2 linked regions of the Arabidopsis thaliana genome follow. The protein of the gene in region 1 interacts with the protein of each later gene in a pairwise test. Each region holds a gene or a part of one and is shown in the gene's direction. Other genes may lie near its edges. The genes, in order: AT4G32750 and NAPRT2.

Region 1 (5,106 bases):
TTTGACATGGAAGTCCGGCTATATGCATCAGACCAATTAGGATTAGAGAGGCAGAGCAAGGGAGAGAGAAAGAGAGACCAATTTGGAAGAACCATTACCTTCTTCTTAACTATCCGGACCATCTCATGAATAACACCTTTCTCAGCCACATGCATATGAACCATGTCACCACAGTTCTTCACTATTGTCTCAAGCAGCTAGAACATAACAAAAAGCATGACGATGAGTGAATAACTATCATTGCAAAACAAACAAGAAAGATGAAAAAACGTGAAAATAATTATCAGCATATCATTCTTGTTAGAAAACTTGTAAGTCATTAAAATCCTCATCATGTACATTAGTATCATGAACAAGTAATCTCTGATCATGTCAACTTCCACTAATAAAAGAGGTTTGTGAAACAAACACGCTATCCAAATGCACCGTTTCAGAAACAACAGTGGCTATTTCAATGAAGTAGCCATCAAGGAAAATAAAAAGGAGAGACAGTTATCTAGGAGCTCACAGTTAAGGCAAGAAGCTGAGCTTTTGGATTCCTGCTACCAATCCGTTTTTTAATGCCTTTCACAACATCTTTTGCTTGCCTACAAAACAGGAACCAGTTTCAGACATCACATAGTATTGGTGCAGTTAGTACACACACTGAAATCTCCTTCTTCCAATCACAAAGCATATAAAGAAAATAACTTGAGAGCTTCTACAATTAAAGCCCTATGAAAGATGACTAAATTGAGCAAAACAGTAGGCCACAAGTATTCCAATTGGTCCTAGAAAACATGGAAATATCTAACTCTGGTAAAGAAACGAAATTTGATTTCCATCTTACTGTTAACTCTCTCTCTCTCTCTCTCACTGAACCAAAAATCCAAATCCGTATAGAGAGTTACAATAGTTTACAGGAGACTAATCGAGAAGTATAGAAAACAAAAGGTAGAGAGAGAGAGAGAGATAACAACAAAAACAAAATCGGAGGGAGCAGAGGGAAACATACGCTGGATCGCTATTGAGCATATCACAGATCTCGAGGTTCATAGCCCAATCAGGCCCGATCAGCATCTCGCTCGTCGCTCTCTCCACCATAGCGTTCACCATCTTCGCTTTGACCCCCAAACAGAAAAACAATTAACCTCCGATTGAAAGAGAGAGACGAATTTTGAAACCAACGAATCAGGCGAAGACGAATTAAGCAGCCGGTAAGATCACGCAAAGAGATTACTCCGGCGAAGAATCTCTCGCTCAGGAATTCACGCCCTTCTCTCTTTCTACTAGAAATCTTTTTTTTTTCCTTTTCTTTTCTTTTTCTCTAATTGTTAATTTTCAGAATTTGTTTTTTAAAAATGTATTTTCTGTACTTCAGATCATTTTTTATTTTCCACGAAATAGCAAAAAAGGAAATAAGTCGAATATCTTCTGGAAAAGGGTCCACTAAAAGATTGCCACGTGTTCATATCGTTGTGTTTGGATAGTTACACCAATTCAGTCAGGTCATTGCTTTCCATCGGACCGTTGCTTTTGACCCACCTATAAATCCGACGGTCATCGTTTCACTAACAGTAAATGTTAGTTATTAGTATTATTATTTTTTCGTTTTTGGGAGCTAAATATAATAATGTTATCCAATCTAAATGAATGAATTAGATTTAGATGGAACATTACAGTTTGATGATTGGTCGATTCTCAACAGCTTACAATGTTTTCTTTTTAATGATCGAAACAAAGTATTTGCAAAACAAAACTAACCAGCGATTACGATTGCGATTGCACACGTATGCAATTAATTATGAGTGTCATTTGATAACGCTATGAAACCGTTAAATCCACATCTTTACAAAATTCATCATAAAGAAAACATTTTGGTCTTATGAAAGTCGTGATTGGTGTGATACAAACCTAAACCAACTTGCTACACATCTATTTACTCTCTATTCTATTCTATTGAGTTCTCGTTTCTTTATCACTTTCTGTGTTGGATGTATTCACCCACTTGCAAAAAATAATTTAGATTTATAGACATCAAAATTGCATAAGAGTGTTAGTTCTAACTTCATCAGTTGAATTAATTAGGACTCTATAGCTAAGCATATTCTAATTCTATGATTATGATAATAATTGAGCGGGAAGTGGGGATAGATTCGAACTTTAACAAACTATTGGGGGTCAAACTGTAATTACACAGAAGTTATCAAAGCAAGTACCTTTACACGCGCCTAATTGTTTCTGCATCACTAATACTTCTTCCTCATTTCCCCAGTTCGGTGTTCATTGATTTAGGGTTCCTGATAAACTTCGGAAACCCCTATTTTGAATTGTTTCGGAATTATCTGGTGAGAAGGGTCTAATTCGATTGTGGATTAGTTTTTTTTTTGTGTTTCTTCAATGGCGATCATTGGAGATGCGTTGCGTCAAGCGTTTATGCCAAAGCAAGAGTACGAGAGCCTTAGGGAAGAAGATAGAGCCTGGATTAAGCTTCAGAGGCCGACTTTAGTCTCGATCGTGGCTTTCCTTTGTTTTGTCATCTTCACTTGCACGATCGTCAGCTTGAAAATTGTATTTCCTTCGAATGTTCTTAAGAGGCCATTTTGCAGCGACATAAAGCTACAACCTTTGCCTATCTATGGCAAAGCTCGTGACTCCGATCTCTTTCCCGGTGCTTTTTACTTGACCGATCAAGAAACTGTTGATTATTACTGGATGGTCGTTTTCGTTCCCTCGACTATAATTTTCCTTGTATCATCTGTTTATCTTGTAGCAGGTGAGCGTCAAGTCTCTAGCTTTTGTTCTTCGTTATTTCATATCTACAGAGCTGGGTTTGCATTTGTGTTTTGTTGGCTGATTTCATTAGATGATGCTCAGTTCTGAGTGGCTTTACGCTAGATATTGATGCTTAGCAAATTTCTGGCAAAATGGCTTCTGAATTTTTCGATTGGTGAGGTGAAATATTGTCAGAGAGGGTTGATTGATTGATGTGTCCTCAAAATCTGAATGCTCGTTGTTATGTTTAGTTCTAGAATCACTCGTTTTGATTGAAGCCACTATATAAAGACAGGTCTGATGATGGTTCAGGTTTATTGGGATTTTAGGGGGTTAGCCATAGAGCAAGCTGTGGAGTTTGCTAAATCCAGTTAATTCCTCTGCTAGATTTTGTTGGATTTGAATTTTATATGGATGTAACTTAGTGGAGCTGATTTATTTCCTTTATTGCTTTCTGCCTCCACATGGCAGCCCTTCTAAGTTTTACAGGTGTGGTATGTCTGCTGCTTATTATTCTCGCTATTTTGTTGCAATACTGCAGGAATTTTTGTGGCTTATTCCGCTCCTCACCGTCATGGGTTTCTAAAAGTCGTTGAAAATAACTACTGTGCTTCAAGAAGAGGTATACTCTCTTCTCTCTTTAATATGTATTCAGCTTTCCATATTTGTTCTTTGTATATCCATGCATTCGTGTAATAGATTCATTCCTTTTCAGTGCCAGACTTTATCTTATAAATTTTTATGTGTAATTCTATTTCATCTGCTAGTAATTACTATGTTTCTACCTTTGAGAATCTGGGCTCTTCAGAGTTTATCACTAAGCTTGGACCTCAAAATAGGTTATTGATCTTCTTTATCATGTCCAATAAATTCACAGGTGGGGTCCGTTGTCTGTCAATTCTGAATGTTGTGTTTGCTATCATCTATGGTCTCCTTGCTATATTTCTCGGCTCAAGCCTCCTCACATTAGGAAGCAGCTGTTCTGTGCCTTTGTTTTGGTGCTACGAGATTTCTTCATGGGGTTTAGTAATCTTGTATGCTGGAACTGCTTTCTCCCTTAGAAGAAGAGCTGCTTTAACTATTGACGAAGGAGAGTTTGGGAACAGAAATGATCAGGGCTTGGAGATGCTTGAAGCTAATCCGTTGGAATTCACACCAGACGTTGAAAGACGAGTGAACGAGGGGTTTAAAGCATGGATGGGACCATCTTTATTATCATCTGATGAAGAAGAAGACGAACCTGACTTTTACAATGAAGTGCCGAATGTAACTCATACTCTTTCAAGCAGGCAAAGATCTTGATTCTTGCAAAGAAGAATTTGGTATGACACTTATGCAAACCTCCAAAGATGATTGCTTCAGAGATTGGGCTCACCAAATTGTTCCCTCAGTGATTCTCGGGTTATTTCATGTCTCTGCTTTCTGCTGATGTTGTTTATGGACGGATCATGAGAAGATTTTGATCCGGAAGATAAATCAGAACGGTTAGGACTGTTGCTGTTGTAGATATACACATAGTGGATCAATCAAGATTGTGTTTGGTTCTGTCTTTTGAGCAGTTCATGGTCGGTTTTGATCGTTTACATTGTTCATTGTAGGAATCTTGGGTTTGTAGTATAGGCCTAACAATACATTTTGATTGTACAATAACCTTTAGATCAACAGTAATAGCATCATAAAAGGATTAGTATTAACTTCCAAGTCCTATAAAAGAAGAATCTGTGTCTACACAATATCATAATACAAACTTTGCTGGTTTTTAATGGTTTTATGAATCAGTATCATACCTGAACATTGTGAAAAATTCTTAGCATTTAACAGAACAAGAAGAAAATCACTTGGTTCATCATGAGGACGAGAACTTTTGGAGTTACAAGTTAATTACTTGAGAACAAGTTACTTTTTCGCTATTTAATCAATGGTATGATGTCCAGAGTTGAGAGATCTACACATTTAAAAAAATTAGAAACAAGAAAATTGGACAAGGAGGGAATAAAAAAGACATACACATATGGGATCAAAAAATTGAAGGCGAGACTCCCTTCAGAACTCTATGAACAAAACCACCCTTCTCTATCTGCAACTCTTCAAAAGGTAAGATGATGGGCTTGAGTAGCCTCCCGGAGAAGCCGAAGGTACCTTAGCTTTCCCTGGTGTCCCACAATCGCTGAAGTCTAAGGCGCGACACTCCACCTGCATTCCACAGAGAATTGGTTCACAGTACGTCAATTTATAAACTCAAAACTGTTATTCCTTTTAATCTACCAAGTTCAAGATCCAATTTCAACATTAAGCTAGACCAGGTGTATTGATTAGAGGACTTGATCAATTTGAAACTTATTGAGAGTTTGT
Region 2 (5,938 bases), on another chromosome or scaffold:
AAAACCATATAAAGGTGTTAACGATAACCAGCATTACGAATCAATCAAACACATATGTAGACTTCCTCTCGCTAATAATGCAAACTGAAGAAAATATTAATAACCCAAGAGAACAGACTAGATTACTAGAATGACTGTACCCAAGCAAAAGCTGGTTCTTATGGGATCCAAATCAACAACACTGATCCCCATGCAACAAACAATAAAACGAAACAGATCAATCAGATAACTTCTTCGTTTTCTAAAGAACCAAATCATCTACACAACTAAATCAATCAAAGCTTAGTCATCTTCCTATCTGACAATGCTCTGATTCGAGGGAACGAAGCAAGGGTTTGGTGGGAGATTGGATTTGGGACAAACACATATAGAATTGGGTCATCGATTTGGTGAAACGAACTCGGAATGGTGAGCAGCGTCGAGAGAGACGACCAATAGAGAGAGTGAGAAAATTTCCCGACGGAATGAAAAATAAAGACACAAGGATTTTTTGTTGGTTAAATATATCAACCAACCACTGACTGCCACGTAGGAGGCTCTCTCCAGAATTATTTGTTTTGATTATTTTTAATCAACAACTTCAAGAGAACCCTATCAAATTGTGATACTCATATCATGACACTGACAAATAAAAGAGACCATGAATATGGTTAGGCCATATGCGATATGGCTTCAAAAACCAAGTTGGGACAATCTTATGTTTAGTCTTAAGTTTGAGTTCATTTTAATTCATTTTAGATACTATTGTTTGATGTAAAATTAAACTTTGATAAATAAATGTACCTAAATTTGGATTGATTTTTTCATAATCATGTTTAAAATTTTTGGTGTTATGCAATTCTGTTTTGTTTTGTTTTTCCATAATAAGCATCTGAACATTTTTACAATATTTATATATTTTAAGAAACTGAAGTTTTAAGATGTATTAATCTACATTAACCTTTTCTATTTTAATGTTAACAAATATTATATATTATAAGTACAATATTCATCAAATACTATAACATATATGTGAAATGTAAATATTTACTACTAATCAAATATCATACTGCATATTTGATTGCAAAAGAGCTAAAAATCATTAATATTGCACATTAAAAATAGTCAATAAACTAAAATCATTAAATACACAAATATATCATAACACAGCAAGTGTGTACCATTATTAATCAATAGATTTACGCTATACAAGTTTTCCGAATTATGTATGTGAAATAAATCACACCAAAAAAATGTATTTGAAATGAAAAAATTCCCCGCCTCTGTAATTTAAGTTTTTTAGATTAAAACAGCTAAACTCTTTTCATTAATTTATTAGAGATACAAGATATTGTTATTTGTTACCAATACCAATATGTAAATTTTTCTGAGTAATTATTATAATTAGTTGAATTTGGCTACCATATGCCAATTTTCAACACATAAAATTCTTTTAAACGTGAAAATTCCAATAATCTAAGAGCCAACAACCACGAAAATTAAACCTCGTTTTAGTCTAAACTCTAAAATGAGAAATAATTAGAAACCAATAAAGGCTCTTAAAGAAAGACTAGGTCAAGTTCAAAGCAAGTTTTGCTTTGTGTGGTGGTCGTCGTCTCTTTCTTTAAACACACTTGTTTTTTTCTTTTTCCTTTGACCACTCCAATATAAACAACCAAGAACCAGTGTTCCTCGTCCATTCACTCTCTCGTAATCACACACACACTCACTCATACGAAGCCAATTGTTCCACACAAATTGGAAGCGACGACAATGGAGCCGAAAGAGAACGGCTCAGAATTGGGTCAGAAGATCATTGACGGACCAACGAATCCAATGGTCACACCTTTACTCAATGATCTTTATCAATTCACCATGGCTTATGCTTATTGGAAAGCTGGCAAACACAACGAACGATCCGTGTACAACACACAATCTCTTCTCATGCTCTGCTTTTGATGTTGAATTCTGAATGGTTTTGTATATTTGAAATTGTTTTTGTTTCCTTTTCAGTTTCGATCTGTATTTTCGTAAGAACCCATTTGGTGGTGAGTACACTGTGTTTGCTGGATTAGAAGAGTGTGTTAAGTTCTTAGCCAATTTCAAATTGACTGATGAAGAAATCGATTTCGTTCAAGAGTGTTTGCCTGGATCTGAGGTATATCAAAAATCTGTTTGTTTTTAGATTGTTATTGATTAAAGTTTGGATTTTTAAATCAGGGTTTTATGTTTGTGATTCAAATTAGGAAGCTTTTTGTGATTATCTTAGAGGGCTTGATTGTTCTGATGTTGAAGTTTATGCAATTCCGGAAGGATCAGTTGTTTTTCCTAAAGTACCTCTCATGAGAGTTGAAGGACCTGTTGGTGTGAGTCTCTTTGTCTCTTTCATTTGTGAAGATTGTTTAAGGAATAGTTTTCTTGAATGAATGATTCATCAGTTGTTGTAAAATCTCCATAGGTTGTTCAATTGTTGGAAACTCCATTCCTCAATCTTGTCAATTTTGCATCTTTGGTAGCTACTAACGCAGCTAGGCATCGCTTTGTTGCCGGAAAATCTAAGAGTCTACTCGAGTTTGGTGCTCGAAGGGCTCAGGTTTCCTATAAATCTCTCTCTTGTTTTTTGATATATTGCCTTTTGTGTTGTTCTTTCCATCTCTGTCTGATGTTATTAGTGTTGGAATCTTAGGGTCCGGATGGTGCAATAAGCGCATCAAAATATTGCTACCTTGGAGGTTTTGATGCAACAAGGCAAGTCTTGCTTTTTGTTTTTGTTGATCTGGAAGTAGGTGAAAGGGAATGTGGAAATGATGTGTTTTGTGTTGTTGGGTATTTTGCCAATGACAGTAATGTAGCAGCTGGAAAACTTTTTGGGATTCCTCTTCGTGGAACACACTCTCATGCTTATGTTAGCTCATTCATGGTCAGTTCACTTCAGCCAAAAGTTTCAATTTTTATGTGGAGGTTACATACTTGAGTTAGCTAGTAGAGACGATAACACAAAGTTTCGTGAAAATAAGATATTCTTGTCAATGCCTTTGTTGCTATAACTTTATTAGCCATGGTTCTGATGCACACTTAATATCCTCGCTCATAACAATATCACAAAAGCATTTTCGATATAATTAGTTAACTTTGGATTGCAGAGTACTGATGAGATTGTTGACAAAGTACTTCGTAGTGCTGATGGGAAAACCACGTGCGAGGATTTTGTTAGTCATGTTCAGACATGGTTAAAAAAGATTCAGGTTTGTTTATTGCACATTTTGCTCTTCCTCTTCCTGTTTTCTAGTCTCAGGACCATTGTTCTATTTCTGCTTCAACCCTTTGCTTGAATCTTTGTCACAGTTTTTCTTATGTTTTGTTTCTTTGTGGATGACAGTATTCACCATCTCTAAGTGGCATTTTCTCTGAGACAAATCAAAGCGAGCTAGCAGCTTTCACCTCATATGCACTGGCATTCCCCAAAACTTTTCTTGCCCTCGTAGATACATACGATGTGAGCATTAAACACCATAGTAGATAGCTCATTTGAGCCTTAGGATTTCTAATAAACTCTTATATTAGTGTTTTGCTGACTGTTTTACAGGTGATGAAGAGTGGAATCCCTAACTTCTGTGCAGTTGCTTTAGCACTCAATGACTTTGGGTGTGTAAGAATCTCTTATCAATACCCGATCGTCTGACTTGACTTTGTACTTCTTCAGGATCATATGGAATTTGAGATGCAATTGATGTTTATTGTGCTGCGCAGATATAAAGCATTAGGTATTAGACTGGATTCAGGTGATTTAGCTTATCTATCTAGAGAGGCCAGAAATTTCTTCTGCACGGTAGAGAGAGAACTAAAAGTGCCTGGTTTTGGGAAGATGGTCGTCACTGCTAGTAATGATCTAAATGAAGAGACGATTGACGCTTTAAATAAACAGGTGACTCCCTAACCCACTCTCAAATGCCATGCCCCCGAAAGATTGATTATTATTAAGCAGTGTTTTTTCTTTCATCTCTATAGGGACATGAGGTGGATGCTTTTGGCATCGGGACCTACTTGGTCACTTGCTATTCACAAGCGGCCTTAGGTTGCGTTTTCAAACTTGTGGAGATAAACAATCAGCCTCGGATTAAACTTTCTGAAGATGTTACAAAGGTTAAAACTCTCTCTCTCTCTCTTGGTGTTCTGAACATTCAATGTCACATTGCACTTAATCTGATTATCATTCTGATTCGTTTAGGTATCAATACCGTGTAAAAAGCGAAGTTACAGATTATACGGCAAAGAAGGTTACCCTCTGGTAGATATAATGACTGGAGAGAACGAACCACCTCCAAAGGTAAAACGAAAGATAACTCTCTCAAAGATTTTAATCTCATTACCTTATTGCATTTTTACATAATATCTTTCTTGATATCAAAGGTTGGTGAGCGTTTACTTTGTCGTCACCCATTCAACGAATCCAAAAGAGCATATGTAGTGCCACAACGTGTCGAAGAGCTCCTCAAATGTTATTGGCGTGGAAGTGCAGGTAAAGATTTTCCGGTACCGTAGAGTTATTAATGACAATGCTTTTCACTGATTATTGTTTCTCTATACCAATGAAGATGAAGCAAGAGAAGTATTACCGCCTTTGAAAGAGATAAGAGACCGTTGCATCAAACAGCTCGAAAACATGCGACCTGATCATATGAGGAGATTAAACCCAACTCCTTATAAGGTATGGTTTTATCCGACAAACATGTTTTTCAGTTTCTGAGAAATCTGTGTAAATGTTTTTTTCTCTCATGGTTTACAGGTTAGTGTAAGCGCAAAGCTGTACGATTTCATCCACTTCTTATGGCTAAACGAAGCACCTGTTGGTGAATTGCAGTGACAGAACAACCAAAAAGAAGAATCTGGTTTTGGTTTGGTGTAATGTATATAATTTATATACCACAGCATCACAAATATGCATTTTTTTCACTTTTAGTTTCTTTTTCTTACAACATTTTGATGATCTCTCATTGTCGTAGTAAGTTTCATTTTCTTACTGAGGAAAGAAACTCTCTGCGTTCACTGGAACTTTGTTTTCAACTGATTCAATAAGATTTTATATTTACAGCTGTAAACATACTGGAGACTGTAAAAACATTTACTCAAGTCAACGATTTTGGATCAGGTTTAGTTTCGTCATATGGTTGACAACTTACTGTTGCAAACGGATTGGTAAGCAGTTGAGTTAATTGAGTTTTTTCTAGCAGAGATTTGAAGAACATTACCTTTCTTCAAAAACTTCTTTAGGCGTTACTAGGACGTTTGGGGTGGACCTAGTCACTAACCACATATTCAAAATTCATTTCCAAAAAGATGAATTATGGAATATGAGAATAGAAAAATACAACAGAGTAAATGAGGAGTAAAACTTTATTACAGAAACTTACCAAACAGTAAAAAAAAATATGGAATATAAGGAAACCATTACTTAACGAAAAATCACTTAACAAGAATACAAGATGACTAAAAATGACAAGACGATAATCCATCCAAATTGAGGTTAAAAACAAGTGATAGTTTTGGTCTTATACAACAGAGTTATACAAGTGTAACTTTGAATTCTTATGGTCTCCAAATAGCCATGGCTTCGAGGGCAGGGCACTCGATATGGGCGTGGGTTTTCTTGGATGAAAGTTAAATTTGTTGATATAAAAGAAACACATAGTATACACAAAACTGGTCGGGACCAATACTCTTTTTTTTTTTGGCTCCGTTCATATTTTCAAAACAACAATTCTTTAGTGAAAATTAATAGATTGATTAAAGAAAAAAATGTTGAGAAAACATGAACTTTCATATTGTTGACGAAAAAAACATGAACTTTTCAAATGTCATTTAAATCCTAAAGTTTAGTTTGACTTCTTAAAAAATAGTTAATTTAGTTGACTTGGCCATTCCAAACATATCTTTAAGTTTCCCTTAACAATATCACGAA

The links.
Region 2: the proteins of AT4G32750 (region 1) and NAPRT2 interact in a two-hybrid assay, tested with the Arabidopsis thaliana proteins (one large-scale study listed by BioGRID).

Annotation. Positions count from the first base shown.
Region 1 is NC_003075.7:15,795,365-15,800,470, reverse strand, and holds AT4G32750 (uncharacterized protein), read left to right. Parts: upstream 1-2,216; 5' UTR 2,217-2,379; coding exon 2,380-2,755; intron 2,756-3,295; coding exon 3,296-3,376; intron 3,377-3,631; coding exon 3,632-4,056; 3' UTR 4,057-4,570; downstream 4,571-5,106. Other genes in the region: AT4G32760 (ENTH/VHS/GAT family protein), read right to left, coding at 1-18, 99-197, 509-587, 995-1,095; PC-MYB1 (Homeodomain-like protein), read right to left, coding at 4,828-4,947.
Region 2 is NC_003071.7:9,970,067-9,976,004, forward strand, and holds NAPRT2 (nicotinate phosphoribosyltransferase 2), read left to right. Parts: upstream 1-1,536; 5' UTR 1,537-1,752; coding exon 1,753-1,901; intron 1,902-1,992; coding exon 1,993-2,137; intron 2,138-2,225; coding exon 2,226-2,345; intron 2,346-2,437; coding exon 2,438-2,572; intron 2,573-2,665; coding exon 2,666-2,727; intron 2,728-2,823; coding exon 2,824-2,899; intron 2,900-3,122; coding exon 3,123-3,224; intron 3,225-3,358; coding exon 3,359-3,475; intron 3,476-3,565; coding exon 3,566-3,624; intron 3,625-3,729; coding exon 3,730-3,904; intron 3,905-3,987; coding exon 3,988-4,122; intron 4,123-4,207; coding exon 4,208-4,306; intron 4,307-4,389; coding exon 4,390-4,498; intron 4,499-4,574; coding exon 4,575-4,687; coding exon of another isoform or gene 4,688-4,726; exon of another isoform or gene 4,727-4,765; coding exon 4,766-4,843; 3' UTR 4,844-5,141; downstream 5,142-5,938. UniProt on the Arabidopsis thaliana protein: Catalyzes the first step in the biosynthesis of NAD from nicotinic acid, the ATP-dependent synthesis of beta-nicotinate D-ribonucleotide from nicotinate and 5-phospho-D-ribose 1-phosphate.